Linked DNA regions of Oreochromis niloticus. The protein of the gene in region 1 binds, or shares a complex with, the protein of each later gene. Links are inferred from orthologs where the notes say so. Each region holds a gene or a part of one and is shown in the gene's direction. Other genes may lie near its edges. The genes, in order: nmt1a, neuronal calcium sensor 1 and aifm3.

Region 1 (7,757 bases):
CCGGATCTACCCTTGTGGCCAGCGCCTTCAATCATCCAACTATGATCCTCAGGAAATGTGGAACTGTGGATGCCAGCTGGGTTGGTACTCCACACTGAAAGCTACGCTGCTGTTCAGATGGAAGCAAAAAAAATGTTTTTTAAAAACCCAGAGACGTGTTTTATTTCTGTAAATTTAATGTCATGTATCCCACTGACATCTCTGATTCCGTGTCCCTCCACTTTCCTCTTTGTGCCATTAAGTGGCTCTAAACTTCCAGACGGCCGGGGAGCAAATGGACCTGAACCAGGGTCGCTTCCTTGTAAATGGTCGCTGTGGATACGTCCTCAAACCCAGCTTCCTGTGCAGTCCCACATCCAACTTTAACCCAGAAAACACGGGAGGAGGCCCCGGTCATACCCCCACTCAGCTGACTATACGAGTGAGTAACTGTTACTAAGGATCACATTTACAGGGGGATGATGAAATTAACATTATATTTATCTAGATACACAAAAATCCAAAGAATGTGAATTCACCATCGTTTTTTAAAGCATATAGATTTTAATAACCGCTATATATGTGATGAAGTTTTTCCAAAGTTTCGTTCAGATGTGACTACCTGTTAAGGAGGACATAGACGTTATAGTACAATTTCTCTACCGCTGTTCTAAGCTTAACATAAAAAGTAAGGAAGTTAGTGTTTGGTTAATTATTTCTTTGTGGTAACAATTCTTCTTTGTAATAAATCGTATATACCACTGGAAGAATACCAATTTGTAAGGAAAATGCATTTGTGGGTTGAGCAGTAGTGTTGAGAATGTGGGTTGCACTCATGAAAAACCTGCCAAATCTTCTCTGCCAATGCCAAACAGCTTATTCTGCTATTAACTCTTGTTTGGTGTCATTTATTGGATTGGATAATTGAATTCTGAAGAAACAAGACATACTGGTAGTTTAACAGCAGTAAATGCTGGTTGAAAAATGTCATCCCATCCCACAGCAGTGTGCGACCAAGCTGGTCACCAACATGAGGAGGAGGTACTAGGCTGTTGTGAGGCCCCTGGTATGTGTTGTTTTTTTTATAGACAAATAAAGAAGCTTTCCAACGGTATACAATTTATTGCTAAGAAGCATTGTTAGAAGAAAAAGGAAGTTTCCTTCCTTTTTGTGGCAAGTTTATTTTTCGTAGTGTCATTTAGTTCTTGTTATTACTGTCCATACTTACATTTTTATCATAGAGAGGCCATCCTCTGTTGTTCCTCTGGAAGAGTTCCCTTATGTCTAAACTAGAGTCTAAACATAGAGCTATTGTGTGCTATCCAGTCGAGCCCTGTTAGCGCAATTTGCAATTTCGGATTTTGCAAAAAAGTTGCCTCCAATAGACTTTTTTTTATACATTTCTAATGATAATTTCATGCACACAATGATGAATTATGTTTTGCTTTTTCAGATAATATCTGCACAACAGCTGCCAAAAATCAACACAGAGAAGGCGAGCTCCATTGTGGATCCACTAGTGTGGGTGGAAATTCATGGGGTGGCTATTGATAAAGCAAAACAAAAAACCCACCGCATTGACAACAATGGTAAGTTTTATTTTTTTATCCACAACAACAAAAATTTTTTAAGAAATTTATTTGATTTTTTTTCTTTGCAGATTGATAATATCTTCGTTATCTATGAATATTTAAATTTCTGTAAATTAGTGTTACTTTTATAATGCAGCGACAGGAGACAAGAGATGATGTCCGAAAGCTTCTTTGTACCTTATTCAAATCTTGGAATATATATTTGTGTAGGAGTCTTTTCAATCCAATGCCATGATTAGTTTGTTTGAAAGGTTTAATGCACCAGATGGTGTATTTACAGCTCTTGTGCGCCCTCTGCAGGTTTCAACCCTCGCTGGGACTGTACTCTGAGCTTCCAGCTGCAGGTCCCTGAGCTGGCCCTGGTGCGGTTTGTAGTGGAGGACCACGATCATGCTACCAAAAATGACTTCGTGGGGCAGTTCACTTTACCTTTTACAAGCTTTCGCATAGGTGCTTATTAAGATTTAGTCTACAAGTCAGTCATGTATCAGTTCTTCACTCTCGGCTGTTCTTTTTAATATGTGTCATACTCCCCACCCAGGTTATCGACATATTCACTTACTGAAGGCAGATGGTTCCAGCCTTTCTCCTGCTACACTCTTTATCCATGTCAAAGTGACTCGCAGAGGTGTTCCTGTCAAAACTATGGCTGAGCGTATTGCCGCTGCCAAAGGCAAAGCGTGACACACATCTGAACAAGACAATCAGACATCTGGACAATGAAGGACCTTGGAAGGAGGAGCTCCGAGTGTAAACAGACAGAGACAGAATGCTGCTGTTGCTGTTGTCTTACAGTTCAGACCCCAAGTGGTCCAATTTACACAAAACCACTTCCCAGTGCTTAAAGAAAGGTGTCTGTCAGAAATGGAGACATGCCCTCTGGTGACTGTAATTCATTAAAAAACACAGAAAAGGGACTGTTAGAGAGAATGAAAATCATTTATTTTATGTCACCATTTTATTTTTTAACGTGTTTTTTTTTAAACTTGAAGAATAATGATCGCTGAAGTAAAATAGCACTTCTTAAACTGATGCTATAAAAGAATTGCAATGAGATGGAAACCAAGCGTAAGTAACTGTGTTTGACAATATCCATAAATGTCAGTGTTTTAGATGTTATTATTGGCAGCATTAACTGTGATGTAATACAGATTTAATTTTGTGTTAGTGAGTGCGCCAGGGCCCCGTGGCCCATGTTGGCTATGTACAAGTACTCGATACTCCAGATATCTGGGCACTTTTAAATTCTCTCTGGAAGACAAATGTTAACATGTTCTCACATCTTCCAGTAGAACATGACAAGCTTAACTTGCAAAGATAAGCTTTTTTCTTAAATGTCTTGTATTTTATCTTAGCATCATTTCAGATACGTTCAAATGTGCTTTTTTAAAATCATATTTGAATTTTAACGATACAGTATTTCCATATAAGCTTCTTTCATTTTGTCAATTTTTGTCCTTGTATTCAGATCTAGAAAAAATGCTGGTTAAAAACTAATTGCATCAATCTAATACAACCACTAATTACTCCAGGCTACAGTGAATCTTTTAATACTCTTATAAGGAGGTTCACTGATAATAAAATGGTCCAGCGATGAAAAGTAATTACTGTAATTACATTTTTAATGGTCACGCTGGTTTTGAGGAGAATGTAATATGTGTTTAATAGTGAGTGAAGTAAAACTTTGCTCTCTTAATGTTTAATATAGAAGCTGTGGGATGCGTTTGAGTGGTTATGTTTGCAAGAAAAATGTTTTTATAAAGCACTTCTAACATTTTTTTTTCACATGCTGTCAAAAGATACAAGTGTCTTTTTTAGTTTCAAAAGTCCACAGTGTTGTCTGTGGATACCTGACACTTTAATAAATGCATAACCAGAAGGTTGTACTGTGAATTTTTGTCTGACTTTTCTGTGATAATCTAAAACTGTCAGCCTAAAACATAATAAATCTTTACATTCCAACATTAGAACTATCAATAGATATGTCCCTGCCTGATTAGGCCAAAAGTAAAGACAAAAAAGGGAAACTCTTAGCAATATTTATGACATTTCACATTATACAGCATGGCAGCAATTTCTCCAACAACTGGACTTCTTTTTGTCTCCAAGCATCTCTATGAATTATGAGCTAATCCACCCACTGAATATTTTGTGGTAAACTTAATTAAATACAAAAACACACACAGTGTGTTGTGAATGACACTCAGCAACACCACAACAACAGAAAAGGGAGGAAGTCAGTATTAGTTTTTTCCCTCAAGAAAAACGTTGGTAAAAAGTCTTAAGTTGACGCTAAAATCATGACAGACATGTTTTTAACATCAGCAAAAATGGTTCAAAAATACACCTCAAATATAGTAATATAGTCCCTGTTGATATCTAGGTCAAAATGTTGACTTGCTAATAAAAAGTAATCACACACGGCTCTCTGAAATAATTATTAGCAAATTATTTGGCAGTCACATGTTATCGTCTCATGTGACTGCCATGATTTCTTATACTGTGCATGTTGCAGCTCTATGGGTATTTTGTCCAAGTGTTGGTGCTGTAGCTGTAGCTCCATTTCTGTAGTAATCATTATTAAACACCGTGTCACTACTTGTAATATATTCATGCAAAACGTGAATGGAAGAATGTCCCGTTAGCTTACTTCATGCAAAAACTGGGTTCTTTAATGCCCCCATTATTATGAAAATAAATAAGATGTGGACCTAAAAGGTTTTGGCTGCTTTGGAGGCGCTAATCATTACGCAGACTACGTAAATGAACAGCTAATGTACATTTTTTACCTGTTAGTGCCTTTTAACTGGCTTTCAAATAAGAAATATCAACGCCACAATGCTTAATCTGCTCAGTTGGTCTCATTCAATTCCTAAGTCTGAGCATGACTTTACCTTCTTACTCACCCTGTTGTAATATTAATTTATTAGGCCTCAGATTTTCTTTCAAGCTGCACTATCACACACGTGTTTCCACTTAAGCGCTTTCATTTGCCTTTGGGTTGTATGCACGTCACATGGCTGTTTGTCTTTAGAGGGAAAAATATATTAAATACACAAAAAATATATTTTTACTGTGGCTGTGAAAACTTAAAAATGGACGCTTTAAAACGATAAGCCGTGCCCGCTCCATTACGAGCCATTTGTTTATCGTAAATATTTGGAAATGGTCGGGTAAAAAACAGGACGACCATGGCTACGCCTCCACTGCGTGTCTCAGCCAATAGCGTCGAGGCTGTTTTAAAGGTGTCAAGGGGCACGCGGTGGCGTCTCACTTCCTGGTTGAAGATGGCGGATGAGAATGAGACAGCACCGATGCCGGAGAAAGAAGATGTAGAGGATCACGGACACTGCAGCGACTGTGAAAATGAAGAGCACCACTTTGACGATGGGTAAGGAGGCAGGCTTACTCGGTCGGTGGCGTAAAATACGTCGCGGCTCTGTAGATTTTAACAAAATTAACTTAAACTGAACCTCGGCGAGCAGTCGGGATAGACGGCCATCCTTAGACGTCGTCCAGCCCATTTTCTTTCATCCTATTGGTTAGTAGCAACGTTCGCTTGCTTGTTCTTTCATCCGATTGGCTGAGAAGGATGTCTTTTCCAAATATAGGCTGGACTTAGCGTTTTCCTAAGTATATGGTTAGAAAGGAGAAGGTAAAGTGCGTTTAGAAGCCAATTTTACACCAAGACTTGTGTTTTCGTTACTCACAAACCTTTCAGAAAAAATAAACTTTTAATTAAGTTGATTTTTTTATGGTGTTCTTCGCATGCCGTTGCTATGTTAAGGGTAAATGATGCAAATCACGTTTACGCCAGCTGACATGTAGCGTGTTAGCTTGCATGCTAGCGTACCTGGCATTGTCTGTGTGTGTGTGTGTGTGTGTGTGTGGATTCGGCGCAAGATCAAAAGTGAAACAAGCACAAACGTGCATGCAAAAAGCACGCAGCTTAAAAATAATATACTTGGGTCTCGGCGTTGTGAAGTGAGGGCTTTGAATTTCCTTTTTAATCACATAAATGTTCGCGATCTTAAAGCAGCCCAGCTCGGTTGCTCTTATTGAATACAAGCTTTGATAAAAACCCTGTTTTTCTCTTAATGTATCTTTAAAAAAAAAGTTGTGTCATATATGAAAGGGCAAAGCAGCCGAGCTTTGTTTTTAGCAGAACAAGAATGCGCCTCTGTAAGGTGGTTTTCGCAAAATCTGATCACTAACTGGAGGAAATCTGACCCGACAGCCACACGTTTACGTTTTTAAAGACACAAAGAAGGGAATAATGATAAAGTCTGAGAAAAGAATAAACCTAATGTTGCAGAATTCTACCTCAAACCCACTTTGCTGTATGGCTAAACATATTCCCCCTGCAGGTCTTTGAACCTTCCTGCACTCAGAAACAATTGTTTGGCCCCTTAACTGCTCTACCCTGTTGAAATGGAAAGTGGGAGAACAAACCATTGAATGTTTTGTTGTCCATTGTTCCAGTCACTTGCTGGGCTCTTGTACATACAGTACATAAACACACACGCACAGATACTCTTCTTCTAGATGTCATCTGATTCACCATCTGTGCTGGTGTTACAAATACAGGCCACGTACTGGCCTGCATTTCTCCCCTCTTGGACACTAATGAGATTATCTTGTGTAAGTATGTTGCCAGAAGATGAAGTAGCATGCTGGAGATATGTGGCTTTTCTGGTTGGAGCAGATCAGAAGAGGGTTATTCTGAAAATCTGCACTGCTGCAAACGAGTTGTAAATTTCTGTATGTTTTAGCTGAAGGACTGGTTTTATTGTGTCTTTAGCTGCCCTACAGCTACACTTCTTGTTGTTAGTTTAAACACACAGCTACTCCTCAGCTAACAAGGCTTTGCATCAGCAATGAAAAGTAAATTGTGTTGGAATTGTCGGTGGTTTAATAATCTTGGCTGTTGTTTAAAAGCAGATTGCAAAAAATAAATTTCCAACATGATTTTCTTTTCTTCTGAGATCAGTCTTAAAAAGGATGCCATATATTTCTGTCCTGTTCCAGTGAGAGGGGTCTTGGGGACGACACTGGCGCCAAGAAGAAGAAAAAGAAGCAGAAAAAGAAGAAGAAATCTGGTGCCACAGAAGCAGCTCAGGACCCCCTTGCCAAGGCATGAACTTATGCATTTCTGTCTTAACGGGTTATAAACCTAACCTAAAAAGAAAGGAAAAACAGTCCAGTTAAGGTGTAATCTACTAAAATCACAGTTTAGATACAGAATGGTAAAGACTGTTTGGACTGTTTAGATAGGATCAACAGTGTTGACTTCTGTTTGCTGTGGTCTTGTTTGATGTATATTCCTGTTTACTTCCCAAACAGGTGAATTCGTTGCCAGCTGATAAGCTACAGGAGATCCAAAAGGCCATTGAACTGTTCTCTGTTGGCCAAGGTCCAGCCAAAACCATGGAGGAGGCCACTCGGAGGAGTTACCAGTTCTGGGACACACAGCCTGTGCCCAAACTAGGTATGGTTACAGATGGCGTAGTTCTGTTTTTCATGCCAATATGTAGCTTATAGGTCAAATCTTTAGGGATTGATAAAATAATGTTTTTGTTGTTGTTGTTTTGGGGGTTTTTCTGCAAGTGGGCTTACACAGATGGTCAGTTAACACAGAGTGAACAGAAGGAAAAAAGGCTTGTACTTATGACTCAAGTATGCAAAAGCTCAGTACAAAAGCATTATTTTGCAATCTGTTGATGAAATGTGTCTATAATTGTGAAAGGAATCAGTAATTGGGCATGGTTAAGAGGATGCAACATACTCATCAGCCACTTTGTTAGGTACACCATGGTAGTACTGAATTGGACCCTATTTTACCTTCAGAACTGCCATGATTCCTAATGGCGTAGACTTGAAATGTGCTGGAAACATTCCTCAGAAATTTTCGGCCATATTGACATGATGACATCACACGGTTGCTGTAGAACTGTCAGCTGCACATGCATTTCTCCCATTTCAATACACCACAGATGTGCTCTTTTTGTTTGCAGTCTGGTGAATTGGGAGGCCATTTGAGTACACTGACCTCATTTCATGTTCAAGTATCCAGTTTGCGATTACTTGACCTTTATTATATGACATGGTAGCCTACTGGAAGCAGCCATCAGAAGATTGGTACATTGTGGGCATAAAGGGAATTAAATTGTCAGCAACAGTACTCAG
Region 2 (7,453 bases), on another chromosome or scaffold:
ATACAAAACTGACAGCAGCAGCAAAAACACTAGTTTAAAAGTCTGTGATATCACAAAGCAGATACTGTATGTATAAGCATACAGCTGGGTGGTGCAATGGTAATGCAATTGCCTTCCAAACAGATCCAGACAATGCAAACCTTACCTTATTACCTGCTGCAATACCTACTGAAGTTAACTTCAACATAGTGATCTAAAATTAGACAAACATAAGACAGCATTTAGACTGAACTTGATACAAGATGCAGACTTTAGTTTAGTAAACTCAACAAGGCTTCTAAAGTTCTAAATGATCCAGAAAGATCAAAAAAATCTTAGAGCAATTTGCCCCATTTTTGCCATGGCCTCTTTCTCTATTTCTCAGCCTTGTTCTCTCTATTCCTACGGGGCTACTGTAACTGCAGTTGACTGCAATAAGGAACTGCAGGGAAGGATACTGAATACTAAGATGGCCAAGTCAGACAGCCTACATTTTGATCCAACCCTCCCATGAATTAACAGAAAGCTCCTATCGGGCTATAGAATGATGGCGTGGCAGTTGTTAATGAACAAATCCAATAGCTGAACATCTGTTTACACGACGCTCGGGGGAGTTGAATTTTAATAAGCTACGCATGGAGATGTCTGACTGCAAAGTTTGGACTCGAGCATGAGTAAGAGGAATCGGGAGCAAAAATACAAATGAGCCTTCTGGTTACATGACTCGTCCTCGCGTCCTTCAGTATAAAAATCAATAAATGAAAACTGCAGCGCATTAATCTTTTTTCTTCAGACCAATTAAAATTCCTTTCCCCATCTTTTAGCAAGTAATGTATCTGAAATCATTTTCCCTTATTCCCATCTTGTTCTCTTTCCCAGCAGGGCCCTGCAATCTCCAGATCAGTAATTATAGTAGCCTATGTTTGGATACACCTTACCTGAAGTTTGCTGGTATGGTGTCTCAATTTACAATCCCACTCTCAAGCTTTCAGTTTTATTTACTTCTGCCACAGACCTTCTACTGTGGCTTGTTTGTCTTTTGGTTAGATTATGCATGTAATTCAACAGAAGATAGTTTCATGAATTTTGGGAAAAGAAGGAACAATCTTTAAAAAATGGGGTGGATTGTGCAGTTTGTTTTAATAACATAAATGAGTTGCACACACAGACTGTACATAAGAGATGTATGCAACCACTGAGAATTCACCCATTGGTTAGTAAAGTTTCATCCCAAGGGCTGAGGTGATAGATAACATCTTAGCATTTTGAAACCAGTCGTAGTTGGGTGTGGCCAAAAACAGGCCCACTCGTGGGATAAGAAATTACCAATCACAAGGTAGACCTGCCCCAAGGCAAATGCTGCTTTATTGCTGTGTTTTAACAGGGAGCATCATTTCTAGAATGAACATCATGCTGTGTTTAATAAACTAGCCACTGAGACCATAAAACTCATTAGGAAAGTATTCGCTGGGCTCATAGATCAAGCAACTGAAGGTTTGTATTTCCCACAGAGATTACTGAAATCTTTCTTGTTTTGGTAACAAAACGACCCCCCCACCCCCCTTTCACTTTTTACGTGTCATTTTTCAGACCCGGAAACCAAGCCCACTTTTTAAATACAGTCTATGTTGACACCAGCAGCAACTGCACCACCATATAAGCGTGGTTGCAGAGAAGGGATGGGCATTCTTCCAAGACCATCCATCATATTATAACCCCCCCCCAAAAAAGATAACCTTTTCTTTTTTTGTAGCTCAGTGACTAATATTAGAAAATCATGCACATCCCTACCCTCAAGGCTAACAAACTTTACTCCCTAAATAACTGATGAATAATGAGGCTTTTACTCTACCACCTTTATTTGGAAACCTGTGCACAGATGTCTCCCAATCTCTCTCTAGTCAAATTTGTAAATGTCTCTTAATTTTTGTGGACGTGTACAAGACCTGCAAATCTGTCATTAGAGCTTGTGTGTGCACAGTCAGATATGAAGATGTGCAATAAAAAACATCCCAGTCTGTATTCAGCTTCAAAACTGTGCTGCGGAGAAAAGCAGACAAGTCGGGCGAGCCTCTCTGTGGGAGATACATGTGTTGGAGAAAGTTGTCTGCAGTCACGTTTTCCTTTTTTACCTGAAATTTGTATTTTTAGCAAGCCTTATTAAGCATAATTCACTGTAATTTGAACCCAGACTTTCTCTGTGAAGGTCAAAAACTTGACCCTACCTTACGAAGTTAATATAGTACCTTACGAACCCTATTTTCAGTAGTAACAGTATTTTTCTTCGCAGTGACCACAATATTTTTTTTAACCATGGTTGACTCAGACTGTCAACATTTTATGTTACTAAAAATAACTCACTCATAAGTGATATACATGTATTCAGCTATGTATAAGCTTTGATAAACTTCTGATGCCTGAGCCCTCCACACTAGTAGTGTTTTTGGGGAGGACACTGAACTAACTTGCTCCCGATGTCAGACAAGCTCCTTGCATTCCAGCTCCACGGCCGAGTGTGTGTATGTGTGTGTCTGCTTATGTGAAACTCATTACAAAGCCCTGTAGAACCTGGCAAAGGTTAAATAATGTTCTGCAAGTGGCCCTTAACACATTTCACAGTTAAGATATGAAAGGAATAAATAACAATACCGGTCTGCATCAGTACAGTGTGTACTCCACTTCTCACTGGGAAAGGCTCCACTGCAACCTTGAATTGGGTAAGCGAGAGAAGATGCATGGATGGATAAATATAAGAATACTTGGATTCACTGAACATTTATTGGATAGTCTGGGTCCTGATGAGAAAGCAAGTGAAAAGCAGTGAGCACACACATTTGTCTTCTCAAGAACATAACTTAAAACCATATATGTAATAGCATGTATGGTGTTATGTTTAGAGAATGTGTGCACCTGCATACCTATCAAGCAGCAGACTATGGCATCAGTAGCCGCTTCACCAACAGGGGGACCTCAGAATAATCCCTCTCACGTTTCCATGGTGGTCACGCTTTAACTCGTGTTGTCATTATGCTGAAGCCCTCTGGTGAAGTTATTTTAATTTTGACCAAAGGCCTGTGAGTGTTAAAGTTCATACTCAGCAGTGATTCAGCAGCCTTTTGCTGAAAATGTAACGACCCACTTACACACATCATTTATTCACACCCCATTGTTTGAACGGCTTGCTGCCCTAGGGAGGCTTTGAGACTGTAGATGGGCTTTTTAACAAGCTAGCAGATCAGTCTCTCCAAACATGACTTGATGTTTTCGTTTTGTAACCAAGCTTTAAAAAAACTAAACCAAACATATCACGAAACACAAAAACTATTTCAGTGTGTAACTTGGCTACCTGCCGTGTTATCAACCATTAACATTAAGTTTGACAATTCACTGTTAATGGAGGAAAGAGAGAGAACAGAGAGAGCAAAAGAGGCAGGTGATCTTTTTTTGAGTATGGGCTGCTCTGCTGCTGACATTTGAAATGATTGAAAATAGCTTGCATTTAAAATGCCATTGATTTTAGGTGTTTTTTTTTTTTAAATGAGTCATTGAATATGTATGATGTGATCATGAGAAACGCCATTAACAAATGCTAATCATTTCTGTGTTATTTAGTTTGGTGTGAGAATACTGAAAAGTTTAAACAAGTGCAGATATGGAAGTGGATTACTTTGTAGCTATTTTTAAACATAGCAATAAATAAATAAATAAATAAATGAATGAATAAATAAACTTTTCTTTACTTCACACTAAAAAAGTGATCTTTATACAAACCGGTATTATTAACGGTAGTTACTTGGGCCAAACGCTGTAAATCAGATATCATGTAAATTTGGAATTTTACCTCAAACGCAGGACTGCCAATGGCATTGTGGGAATTGTAGTGTTGCTCAACCTTGACTGACCCCGACGAAGGACTAAAAGTTAGATTATTCCGAATCGTTTTAGCCCCTTTACTTAAGGAACTTTGATATTTATGTTAAAAATGTAACTTATTCCTTTTTAATACAACCCTTTGCCACAATTAATTTTTGTCCGTTTGAACAACAAACTCAGATTTCACAAGTTACAAACACTAACTTTGAATCCAGTGCAGTGATTAGGCATTAAAAAAGGGTAAGTGGCTAATTTGAGTGTTATAAAGAAAAACAAGACACCCCGCCACCACTTTCGACCTTTTCTTTCTTTCTTTTTTTGTGTGTAAAACTGGGCAGGCAGACTGACCTGTAAACAACGTTACATATAATGTGAATATGAGTCGAAAAGTTAACCTCTCGCTATGTGCCCGGTGACACGTGTAAAGGCTCTCAAAGCACACAAAGAGTCAGTGTGTGTCCAGTGGTACCGCGACGTCAGTGTCTCTGGCACTGAGCTGAGTTGGTCGGGGCCATGCAGCAGAGGCAGCAACGTCACTCCCTGACGGCGGCATCAGAGCAGCACGGACGGCCATCCGCGCAGCAGCGAGTCGCTCGCTCCGGAACTCGGCGAAGGAAGACGGCGTCGGACAGCGGCTTTCTGCTGTGGGGCAAATTATTTCTTTTCACCGCGACTTTCCGCTTTTGTGGCTAAGGTAACCAGAAGCCGCTTTATATGGGAACGTTTTTTTCTTTATTCATTTAAAGGTGTGTTTTCTGTTTTTTTTTTTCCTTGTCAACTAGCTACACGGAACAGCATGGGTACCAAACGTTTCGAGTACAATGACTAGCTTCCCGCACTGTAGCCATAAACTGAGGGTTGCTATGGTACTGCCAGGCAACATCCCACCTGCTGCTGCCGCGACTGTATGTATTTCTCGCTGCTGTCAATCAAAACACGTTGAAATTAATAAAAACAAAGCGCTTTTCGAGGGTTTTAACCAGGCTATACGTTTGTTGAGATTGTATGTATTTTAGTTGTGCTGTTTTGTCTTAGCCAGCTGTTTGAATCAGTCATTTAACAACGTGACTTCATTTTCTGCTCGTTTAGGCTGTGCTGATTTAACGCAGAATACTTTAATAGCAGCCTCTACAGTTAAATTGACAGCACTCTTCTAGCTGCATATTGTCTGATGCCTGCTGGCTACACTCAGCAGCTTAGGCAGACACTAGAAAGGTCGTCTTGTTTTGAGTGTTTTTCCAGTCAAGTGCCCATGTGTCTGTGGCTCTAGGTGACAGTCCAGTCCATTTCTCATGAAACACAGCACATGCCTGTCATTCCCTTTGTAACTGCTGTCTGTTTGTTTATTTTCATAGTGTCTGTGTAATATCCAGGACCAGAAGGCTTGAGCAAACGCAAAATGGTGATTACCAGCGTGGCATCCCTCGCAAAGACATCGCTGGCCGTGGACGCAGAGTACAGATGTTTGCAGTGAAGGTGCATAGTGCGTACAGTAGTCTTCTAATTCTGTGGCTCAGACAGCTGCTGTGGTTAACCGTCAGTGCATGCCAACGCCCGGCCCACGGTACAAAGAAATTCCATTATCCCCATCTCTGTGACAGAGAGGAAGAAATCACCATGCCGTGTTGTCATGAGGCCAGAAAAGGAGGGAGAATTATGAGTCAGAATGGAGGAGAAAAAAAAAGAAAACTGTCACTCTTCAAATACACATCTAAACTTGGTAGACAGCTCACATGCTTATTTTAAGAGCAGCACCGGATCTCTTTTGTGCTGTTCAGTTGGCATCAGAGCTGTAGAACCGTGAACAGACTTGGCGTCTTTCTGGTATCTTCTTTTTTTTTTTCCCTAGAAATTATTACTGAAGCCTTTTAAAACTGTTTCTTTACACTGTGGTGTCTGTGTAAATTCCAAGGATTAGAGCTAACGTTTTAGAGCGAGCGCAAAGTGCAGCGGGGGGCATCCAAGTCGAGCTCTGTTCATTGTATTTTAGTTTACACACCTCCTTATCTCAGCTGTCAAGAGGGAGGACTCTTTTTCTACAGTAACTTACCCTGAGCAATAGAGATAGTGGTGGGAAAGGAGGGGTGGGAGGAGTGAGAAGAACAGAGAATGACTGTGAGGGAGCGAGCGTGCTTAACCCAGCCACTGAGTGACTCTTGTATCCAAGGACGAAGGTAGCAACGTGTCCAAACGCCACTCTTCGCCCACGGGCTGCTGTGAAGAAATGAGGCGGACACATAGGCGCTCCGCAGCGCTCGTATAGACTCAACAACCTGCTGGGTCCTCTTCACGTGGTCCCCTGGGGTTTGACTCGTCTGTGTGGAGTGCTGATGGCTGAGCAGATCATGACCACAGCTAGAGTGATATACACAGAACGATTAGCGTGAATGGGAGTGTTTTATTTCTTTTTCTGTCAAAGCAAACTCAAATAAAAGTGTCTTTCTCCTATCTCACCCGTGTCTTCGCACCTAAACTGGCCCCACTTCTCTTGCGTGTTTTGGCAGAGGAGCAGACTGGCGAGGACGTAGTAACAGGTGATACGTGCCAGCGTGGATTTGGAGGCGTCGAAGAGAGCTGAAGATCATGGGTAAATCCAACAGCAAGCTCAAGCCAGAGGTGGTAGAGGAGTTGACAAGGAAAACCTACTGTGAGTAACTGAAAGTGTGTTTGTTTTTTGCTTGTTCTTACAAAGAAAAACTTTGCAGAAACTTTTTCTGTGAGCTTGTCATAGCCTGTTGGCCTGAGGTTAAAGAACATACAGCTTGCAATAGGAATACATAATACAGAGTTTATTGCTGCGGTTTGCTAATCTCATTTTCCACCCACTGTGCACCACACAGGCTTAACAGTAAATAACGCTGCCTGCTGGGATGCTTTGGGATGCTATACATTTTTCACCACTGACAGAGCAGATGTCAGTTGCGAACGATCTCCTCATTTGTTTCAAATTTCAGATTTTTGAATGTATCGCAGACATTACTAAGCTAAGGCTGAGTAAAAAGTTGCAACCGGCGTCTTTAAGTTACGCTGAGGACATAGTAGAGTTTGCGGCAGCTGTAATGATAGCTTTTCTTTACAGATGAGCGTGTGGTTTTATGTGTTGCGCTTGTAAACATGCTGTATTTTCTACTTCTAATGTGACAGACATTGATAAATTTAAACATACAAAGGGTAAATCAATTCACGCCGTGCTTGTGCTGCTACACTTATAAATTGCATTCCTGCATCAAGATCGATGGATGGGGTGGGCTCACAGAAAGGGGACTGACCCTCCAATCAAAAACTGTAGCGAAGGTGTGACTTTGTAATTATATCTTCTATCGTTGTTCCCGTTGATGCATTAGGGTGCAAATTGACTGTATTTCTACCATCTTACCAGCCGTTGCTTACCAATGTCTGCTCAGCTATCACTTTGGATCACATTTCTAATTACCACCAGCAATGTCTGCTTGGTATCCACTATATTAACCACTTGTGTGTTATTTTTGGAGCACAGCATTGCTATTATTATTATTATTATTATTATTATTTGAGCACCGTGGTGTGCAGGTGTGGGTGGGAGTTGACATCCCCTGGCTGCTTAATGACAGTGTTATTTGTG
Region 3 (7,864 bases), on another chromosome or scaffold:
GTTATTTATCTAAATCTCTATTCATTGAAGTTTGTATTATTTACATATGTCTTGTGGTAAAGAATCCAAATCATATGAAAATATTTATAATATATCTCTGTGTTAAGTACTGTTACTGGCACATGTCTTTGTGATAATTCTTACCATTAACAAAATCTGTGTATCCTATAATACTGACCTGAGTATTTAGTGACATTATTCTGTTATCATGCACTCGAAGCCTTAATAAATCTCCTACAGAATGAGTCATGTGTTCTGAGTGTCTGTGCTCTGATTCACCAGTATACCAACGTTATTGAGGTTTCTGCGCAACCATTTTGTCAGTTAATCAATACAAAGGAATGTGTCAAAAAACTGAAGTTTTTGTGAAACCACAGAAGTGATTGATTTGACCTCTTTAGAAGCTATTGTCAGGTTGTGTTATCACAAATCTTCTGGGCTCTCTAACAGACGACTTTATTCTTGAGCCCAAACCTAACTTTTAACCTGCTTTTAAATCCTACAGCCATCTGTGCAAAGAGCCAATAACTCCATTATGTCAGCTTTGCCTAAAACTACAGCATTGGCCTTCCTCACTGTCTTTATGCAGGGACCATACTAGACTGGATCAGCGGGAAGGTTGTTTTGCTGCTTTTAGTGTTTGGGGTTAAAGTGGGTTGAAACAGGCAGCAGTCCTCATCCCGTCCAGCAGGATATGGCCTACTCAGTAAATACGTCACCATTGCTGCTTAGATGAGAAGTGGATGCCTCAAAGGTGTAGGAATTTTAAACAGCTGATGTTTAAAGTGAAATATTCAAAGACACTTTTTGTTGGCCTTGAATACTGGTGCTAATCTAAAATTCAGACTATTGTTACAAACTAAAGCCAGTGCAACTTAAACACAGTGTGAAAAAGCTGAAGGTCAGCCCTTGACCTTTCATTAAATCAGCATGTCCGTCAGGGGTCTCAGTTTCCACAGATCTATGCATGATAAGTTCAGACAACGCTCCCTGGTTTGAGCGGATGAATTCCTTTTGAATCTGCAAGGTTTTGGAATGCAGCGATTTTGGTGTACTCACGTGATCTAAATTAAATTCAGTAGTTTAATTTTAATTATTAATTTGAGATGTGTTACAGGTTCTTATATATGTACTGCGGTCACCCTTAATAATCCCAGTATGAGTTCAATAAAATTTAAAAAAAGTATTTTATGAACGTTTATAGTTAATTTTGTTCATGGGGCTAAGACAAAACGTTTGTCCTAAATGCAGAGGCATTATATTGGTTTTCTACAAGCTGGCAGTTGTACTGCAGGATCTGTAACAACCCACAGAGGAATTCACAAAGTGCTGGACTCTTTTGGACTTTTGTACTGCTGCAGTGAGCACAAAGTGCTATTCACAGTAGAGATACTTGAGAAATTTAGCAAATCAAAATAAATAACTTAAACAAATAATATATAATCAAAAACGAAAGTCCATACCTCACCTAATTTTGCTGAAACTTTTAAAGTTGTACTGAATTTCACAGTCACGTGAAACAGTAACTTTTATGTCTTTCTTTTTTATGCGCCCCTCATGCACAGGTTGCTCATGTTTCATTCAAGTTGACTTGTGCACACACACGGCCGAGAATCCCTCTGCTCATATCTGGTTTCATTTAAATACTGAGTTCGTTGTTCGCTGGGATGACATTGAACACTGAAACCAAACAGTATGGCCGTTGTTATGCAGTGGTACCAGATTATCTCCTACTTATCAGGTGCATTTTCTTAAAGAAGTAAGAAGTGGGCTGTCCAGGTCTGTCCAACAGGTGGGACGAGCTACAGAGCCACTCGGATGGCTTGCCTAGCTTTACTTAGATTTGGACACAGAATCACAGCACAGACTTCACCGCACAAAGGCAGAAGATGGTTTTTCTAACAGCTAAAATGATGCAAAGGACCGCGCTCTTTGTGACGGTTGGAGGCTTGGTGACATCTCTGATCACCACCTTCCTTCCACATTGGAAAACAATGAACTCTGATCTCAATGAAGTGGAGAACTGGTTCTCTGGGCTGTGGCACACCTGCCTCTACACCGAGGAAGTGGGAATTCAGTGTAAGGCCTACGATTCCATCATGGGACTGCCGATGGACCTGCAGATCTCCAGGGTGCTCATGTCAGTGTCTATTGGTACTGGTGCTTCAGCTGTATTGGCTGCTTTCCCGGGTCTAGAGGGGGTTGAGATGTGTATGGAGCCGCCTGGTCTGAAGAGAAGTCTCCTCATCTTTAGTGGGGTGCTGTCCTGGGTGTCTGGGCTCACTACTCTGGCTCCTGTGTCTGTTGTGGCCTACACAACTGTGGTGGACTTCTGGGACGAGGGTTTTCCTGATGTGATGCCACGATGGGAGTATGGGGAGGCGATGTTCTCCGGATGGTTTGGAGGCCTGGCACTGGTCATCGGAGGGACTTTGTTCTTTGTAGCTGTGTGCATGGGCGACTACGACCGGCAGACATCGAGTGTACCAAACAGCCCACAGGTGAAGCAAAAGACACAGCACTACCTAAAGACGGAGGTTTTATAACTTGGACATTCCCATATGTGTAATATCTGCGAGTTCATGTACGTTATATGGAAGCATGACAGCCTGTGAAAGGTTACAGTAGTTCTACCGAGAAGCACTGAAGTGTTTTTGGGGCCCTTTTGTTTTTTTTACTGGATTTCAAACTGGAAATCAAACTTTTTTTTCTGTGATCTCTGTTTAGAAGAAAAAATCTGAAGCAACTGTGTGCGACCGGACACATTTTATTAAAACAATGCGAGACAATAGATGGCTGCTGTAGTTTTTATTCTTGTTAAAGGATTGGAGGACAATTTATTTAGCAGAACATACACGCCATTGGAACCTCACTTAATGGTACGGTAAAAGCTAGTCTAAATAACTTTTTGGTTGAATTACTCATGCATTAGTTTTAATGTCAAGGGATGTGTGCAATAAGTGCACAAAAGTATGTCATAAAGTTTCAAAACACCAGAAAGGAACCTACTATCACCATAAAACCGATTTATGAGAGTTTTGTTTAGGAACACTGACCACAGGCAATCACTACAATAAAGTGAGTATTTTTTTCTGATGCTTTAAAAGTCTTTAAAAGTCAGTAATGCTTTTAAGACGAGCTTTCTTTCTTGCTAATCAGCATCAATATACCAGAAATATAAAGTGTAGCCATGCCAGATTATAGCAAAACTGTTCATTAACATCTGTAGTCCTGGGGCAGGTGACATCAAACTTTCTAATAAACAAAAACAAAAATAAATGATTCATCAGACAGAAGTAACTGATGGTTTGGGATCACTTACTGTTTAAGATGTGCCTTAAGTGCCTGGTATGTGGACCGCGCCTTTAATGCCTTTGGTAGGCTATTCAGACATTTAGTTCCCTTTACTGACAGCACAGCTTGTCCAAATGTAATGCACCTATAAGGATATTTATCTATCCATTTAAGCTCCATGGAAGAACATATGTGAATATGCATGTAATTTACAGCTGCACTTGTGGTGATTTCTTTCAGATGAATTTTATTTGTATATTTTAGTTAGAAGAATGATATTCAGCTGAACTGAAACATGAAGAAAGTTAAAGAAACTTAAAGGTTTCTTTAAGTTCGTAATGAAAACGAGTCCGTAATGAAAATGTCCCGCATTAGTTGTGAGCAGAGTCAGAGTGCTCACTGCAGTGCAGGAGTGAATAAATGAGCAGGGGTTGCATTCTTGAGCTGCTCTGTGTTGAATTTCATTTGGTGGGGAGGGGGCTTGGTGCCATCAGCTCCTTTTAGAGCTTAATGTACTCTGTTGCTCACCGTTATTGTCAGAACTGATGTAGACTGTTTTGTTTTATTCTTTTCAGTTTCTTCATTTCACCAAAAAAGGGGGTCAAACACTGATGTTTCTTTGGCTGGGCGATGTACGTTATTAGCATTTACTTACTGATTGATTTAAAGCTAATTAACAGGGTAAATCTACCCCTAATAACTGCTGGCATTAATATTTTGGCAGAGCATTTGTTTTATAAGCCATTAATGATTCATTCACTTCTCCCTGCTCTCTTGATCTGGCTTTTTGGATGCTGCAGCTCTCTGTGACCCCTGGGAATTCAATTAAACTGAGTGATGTGTCAGTGATGTCAGATGGCCTTCCCTGCACACTGGGCGAGTCTGATAGGTCATCTTGTCGTGCATATCCACACGCCCCACCCTGGCTTTCACTCAAATATGCTTTTTCCATCAAACAAGAGCAGTGCGTGTGCACCTGTCAGCTGTCAAACATCAAATTAGTCCATGTGGAGAGTGGAAATGATCTAATTTGATCTCTATTCTTTTATAACCATGTTTTGTTTTGTTTTGTGTTTTTTGAAGTGAAAGCACTGACATTCTGAAAACACCATAAAGGTTTTGGTGCTGCATGCTGATCATCACCTGTGTCACTGTTGTCATCATCATTTCCATAGAAATGAATGTGCAATTATCAGGTGAATGACCTTGACCCATCTCTCCCACAATGGGAGCATAAGGAATGGAAATATCTCGAGAGCTCATTTCTATAAGACTTAGTAGGCTATACCTTTGTAATCCTGCTCCACCCTACCCCCTCACTGAACCCAGGATTTACTGCAACAACTGCACTTTGAGGCTTTCTCCCTCTGCTGCACACACTGATAGAAGTGCAGCATTCACACACACACACACACACACACACACACACATACACACACACACAGTAAGTGCGGCTTCGGTGTTTATTTTATGTTCCCTGGTGGTCAGTGTAACTACAATAAATCCAAACACTGGTAAGTTTTAACAGCAGATGATGCTCGTGGAAGCAGCATTTACAGGGAGCAGCCAGTGTAATAGGTGGGCAGTCATTGGGGCAGTGCTTTGCGGAGGGTAGTTAAGTCTTTGATCAGGTTTAGCTGGCAAGTCAGGTCTTTGACATTTGAAGGCGAGGCTGAAATGGTCTGAACAGAAAAGCAAGCCTGGCGCGCGCACGCACACACACAGAGCGCGCGTGTGTGTTTTTTAAGAAAGAGAGAGGAAGGTTGGGTGGAGGAGAGCAGGGAACGGTGAGAATTCATGCTGTGTTAGCATCCCCTCAGCAACTCCATCAATACCGCATACAGCTGAGAAACTGGCAAAGGTCCTCCGTGCTGCGTTTTCAGGCTCGGACAGAGAAACAGAGCAACTCCCACAACCCGTCGGCTCAGTGTGCTGCTCCTGCTGCTCCTGCTGCTGCTGAGGGGGACTCTGAGAGGGGCAGAGCGCACACACACGTACACTCACCCACACACTCACTCACTCACTGGAGCCTCTGCTGCATCAAGAGGAAGAAGAGGAGTGCGGAGGAGGGTACGGAGGGACACGCAGACTGGGAATACTCTAGCGGAGAGAGCCAATCCGGAGAGGGAGAAGACTGCGAGGAGACCCGTGCTAATATGCTGCCGTGCTCCGCAGGGACGGCTGAGCACCAGGGAGTTTGACAGGATCTCAGTGCACCTGCTCCATGCACGCGGGTAAGACCCTTCACATTCTTTTTACACCAGGGACTCAGAGTTAGAGGTAATTACTTTATATGTGTTTATGTGATGCTGCATGCGCGCGCGCGCGCGTGTGTGTGTGCGTGAGAGAGAGCGAGATCCCACTTATTTCTTCAAGTGGGTTTTGCCTGCATTGGCGCACTGTGGTCACATAGAGTACTTCTATAAGGAAGTTACTTGCTCTGGGGGCTCTTCTGTTGAGAAACATCCACTGTTTCTCTACAAATCAGTTTGTTAGTGAAAACACACTCATGAGTGGAATACATGAAAATCTTGGAGAAATTCTGATCCCTCAAACTTCACGCATATCAGATAATGTTTTCCAGTCCATATACACCAGTAACTTTTACAAAAATGAAAACAGGTCGAATATATCACAGCACATCTCCAATCATAATTTGTATGCGTCTGCGTGTGTGTGCTGAGAAACTGGTCACTTGCAGAACTACTCTAAGGAAGTACAGCTGCCCTGTAGGGGTGTACACCCCTCTGAAGAACTCAGTTCCAGTTTTCCATGACATCATGGAGAGGTTATCGCTCAAAGTAGCAGCAAAATTACCTGATAGAGCCATGTAGTGCTATTGTTAACCAACTTAAGCTTTACAGATAAATACATACAAAACATATTGGCATCTGAGTCAACATAAAGCCACAGGAACTTGTCTACTTCATGAACTCTGTGCTGTTGAACAGTAAATAACGCTGAATGCTGATTTGGTCTTTGTTTTCTTGAACCACGTGGCAGCTGCTGTATCATGTGAAGCAGTAATGTTTTTTTGAATTCCCCTTAAAAGCTTAATTAGGACTGTACCTGACTCTGTAATCAGGTAAATGTATAGTTAATTTATCACACATTATAGTCCCGTTTCTTTTTTAATTTTCAGTCAAGGCTTTTTCACAGCCTGCACTCTGTTGGCGTCACATGGAGCTGAATTTATTTCTTCAAATCTTGCCCATAACAAGGATGTCACCTCACAAAGGAAACAAAAGCAAAACTATACACAAACATTGATCTGAATAATCTGAATGAAATTAAACACACACACAAACACACACACTGGAGCCTCCTAATGGGGATTGTGGTAACTGTAATCCACACTTTTTTCTTTCATAGTCAGTGACACGTAGGCACTGGAGTAAACAGAAGTCAATCAGAAGCTTGGCGGCATTTCAGGGAACACCTTTAACTTCAGACATGGCTTGGGACACTTGCTGCCCTTCCCTTTCCCTCCTGTTTCCTTTCACTGCAAACAATTAACACATGAACAGCAAAAAGACACCAACAAAAAAAGATCAAGGATTAAAATGCTTTCATTTTTATACATTTGTCAGGGGCACTGAAGACTTCATTAAACTGCTAGTAAATAAAATAAATGGTCAGTAAGAGCCTGTCAGCTCAGCAGCAGGTTTATGCAATTGCAGGATGACTCCTCAGGCTTATCTTGCATTTCACGAACCTGAAGAGCTGACTGTGAGGGAAAGAAAGAAGCGTGGTCAAATATTAAGCAGCATGAGGCCTTTTATCAGCCAAGGATCAGAGAACTCTAACTACAGGCTAACCTGTCAGGATACCTGCCAAGCAGGTGTTTTAAAATAGTCAAGGTGTTATGAAGTGAATGAGCCAATAAACAGCTGATCTTCTCTTAGTACATATGGAGATCGCAGCATGTTCCTCTTCTGCTAACGTTACACATGCTATCACAGTTTGCGTGGTAATTTCAGTGGGTGTGTCCATCAAAGGGCTGGCATTTTCGACTGGCATTTGTTTCACTCACGTTCACTTTATAGATCAGCCTCTTTTCCACCAACCAGGAGTTGGCATTTTGCTAATTCTCCCCTCTGACATTCCAGTAACAGGTTTTGCATTTGTAGGGAAGTGAGTGAAACTGACAGCTTGTTTGCAGGCAGGATTATTAGCACTGCTTGGGGACAGGCCCAACAGTGAGAAAGAGTGAGGGATCTGCGTCATATGTTGTGAGGACCAAATCTGCTTAACCTACTTTAGTTTTGCACAAAATATCTTGGGTTTACTGGAGCTCCAGTATGGTAGCTATTTGTGATCCAATTTGTTGTTCATCAAATTTTCAGTGGTGACGAATTATTTAAGGGACAACATGCAAGGGGCAAGTTTTCCTACATATCTTCAGTCTTCAGAAAGGGACTTGATATTTTTTTTTGCTTTCTCTAGTTAGTGGCTTACACAGAAAGCACTTGGCAGTGCTGGCAAGGATGTTAACTAAATGCAAGGAAATGTGCTTGGCATAGATATTTGAAGGAACAGCGCAAAAATACAGATTAAAAAGAAGCTAGAG

What was found.
Region 2: the proteins of nmt1a (region 1) and neuronal calcium sensor 1 are in contact, whole or in part, in a crystal structure (PDB 5O9S), measured with the Homo sapiens proteins. The link is inferred for Oreochromis niloticus from reciprocal best matches to the Homo sapiens genes NMT1 and NCS1. Residues at the interface, in NP_066565.1 of Homo sapiens: Tyr180, Val181, Glu182, Asp183, Asp184, Asp185, Met187, Phe188, Arg189, Phe190, Tyr192, Asn246, Thr282, Ala283, Gly284, Arg295, Tyr296, His298, Ser300, Lys310, Phe311, Ser312, Tyr401, Leu403, Ser405, Tyr420, Gly468, Ile469, Gly470, Asp471; in NP_055101.2 of Homo sapiens: Gly2, Lys3, Ser4, Asn5, Ser6, Lys7, Leu8, Lys9.
Region 3: the proteins of nmt1a (region 1) and aifm3 are in contact, whole or in part, in a crystal structure (PDB 6SJZ), measured with the Homo sapiens proteins. The link is inferred for Oreochromis niloticus from reciprocal best matches to the Homo sapiens genes NMT1 and AIFM3. Residues at the interface, in NP_066565.1 of Homo sapiens: Tyr180, Val181, Glu182, Asp183, Asp184, Asp185, Phe188, Arg189, Phe190, Asn246, Thr282, Ala283, Gly284, Tyr296, His298, Phe311, Tyr401, Ser405, Ile469, Gly470, Asp471, Asn473, Leu474, Leu495, Gln496; in NP_001373743.1 of Homo sapiens: Gly2, Cys4, Phe5, Ser6, Lys7, Pro8.

What each region holds. Positions count from the first base shown.
Region 1 is NC_031969.2:27,687,869-27,695,625, forward strand, and holds the start of nmt1a (glycylpeptide N-tetradecanoyltransferase 1), read left to right. Parts: upstream 1-4,747; 5' UTR 4,748-4,762; coding exon 4,763-4,962; intron 4,963-6,599; coding exon 6,600-6,705; intron 6,706-6,914; coding exon 6,915-7,059; intron 7,060-7,757. Other genes in the region: plcd3a (1-phosphatidylinositol 4,5-bisphosphate phosphodiesterase delta-3-A), read left to right, coding at 1-80, 243-421, 1,433-1,568, 1,872-2,021, 2,113-2,255.
Region 2 is NC_031977.2:11,093,609-11,101,061, forward strand, and holds the start of neuronal calcium sensor 1, read left to right. Parts: upstream 1-4,393; 5' UTR 4,394-4,546; intron 4,547-4,634; exon of another isoform or gene 4,635-4,757; intron 4,758-5,207; 5' UTR 5,208-5,328; exon of another isoform or gene 5,329-5,335; intron 5,336-6,356; 5' UTR 6,357-6,435; coding exon 6,436-6,499; intron 6,500-7,453. UniProt on the Homo sapiens protein: Neuronal calcium sensor, regulator of G protein-coupled receptor phosphorylation in a calcium dependent manner. Directly regulates GRK1 (RHOK), but not GRK2 to GRK5. Can substitute for calmodulin. Stimulates PI4KB kinase activity.
Region 3 is NC_031977.2:17,815,128-17,822,991, reverse strand, and holds the start of aifm3 (apoptosis-inducing factor 3), read left to right. Parts: upstream 1-4,844; 5' UTR 4,845-5,528; intron 5,529-7,864. Other genes in the region: cldn26 (putative claudin-24), read left to right, coding at 1,890-2,546. UniProt on the Homo sapiens protein: Induces apoptosis through a caspase dependent pathway. Reduces mitochondrial membrane potential.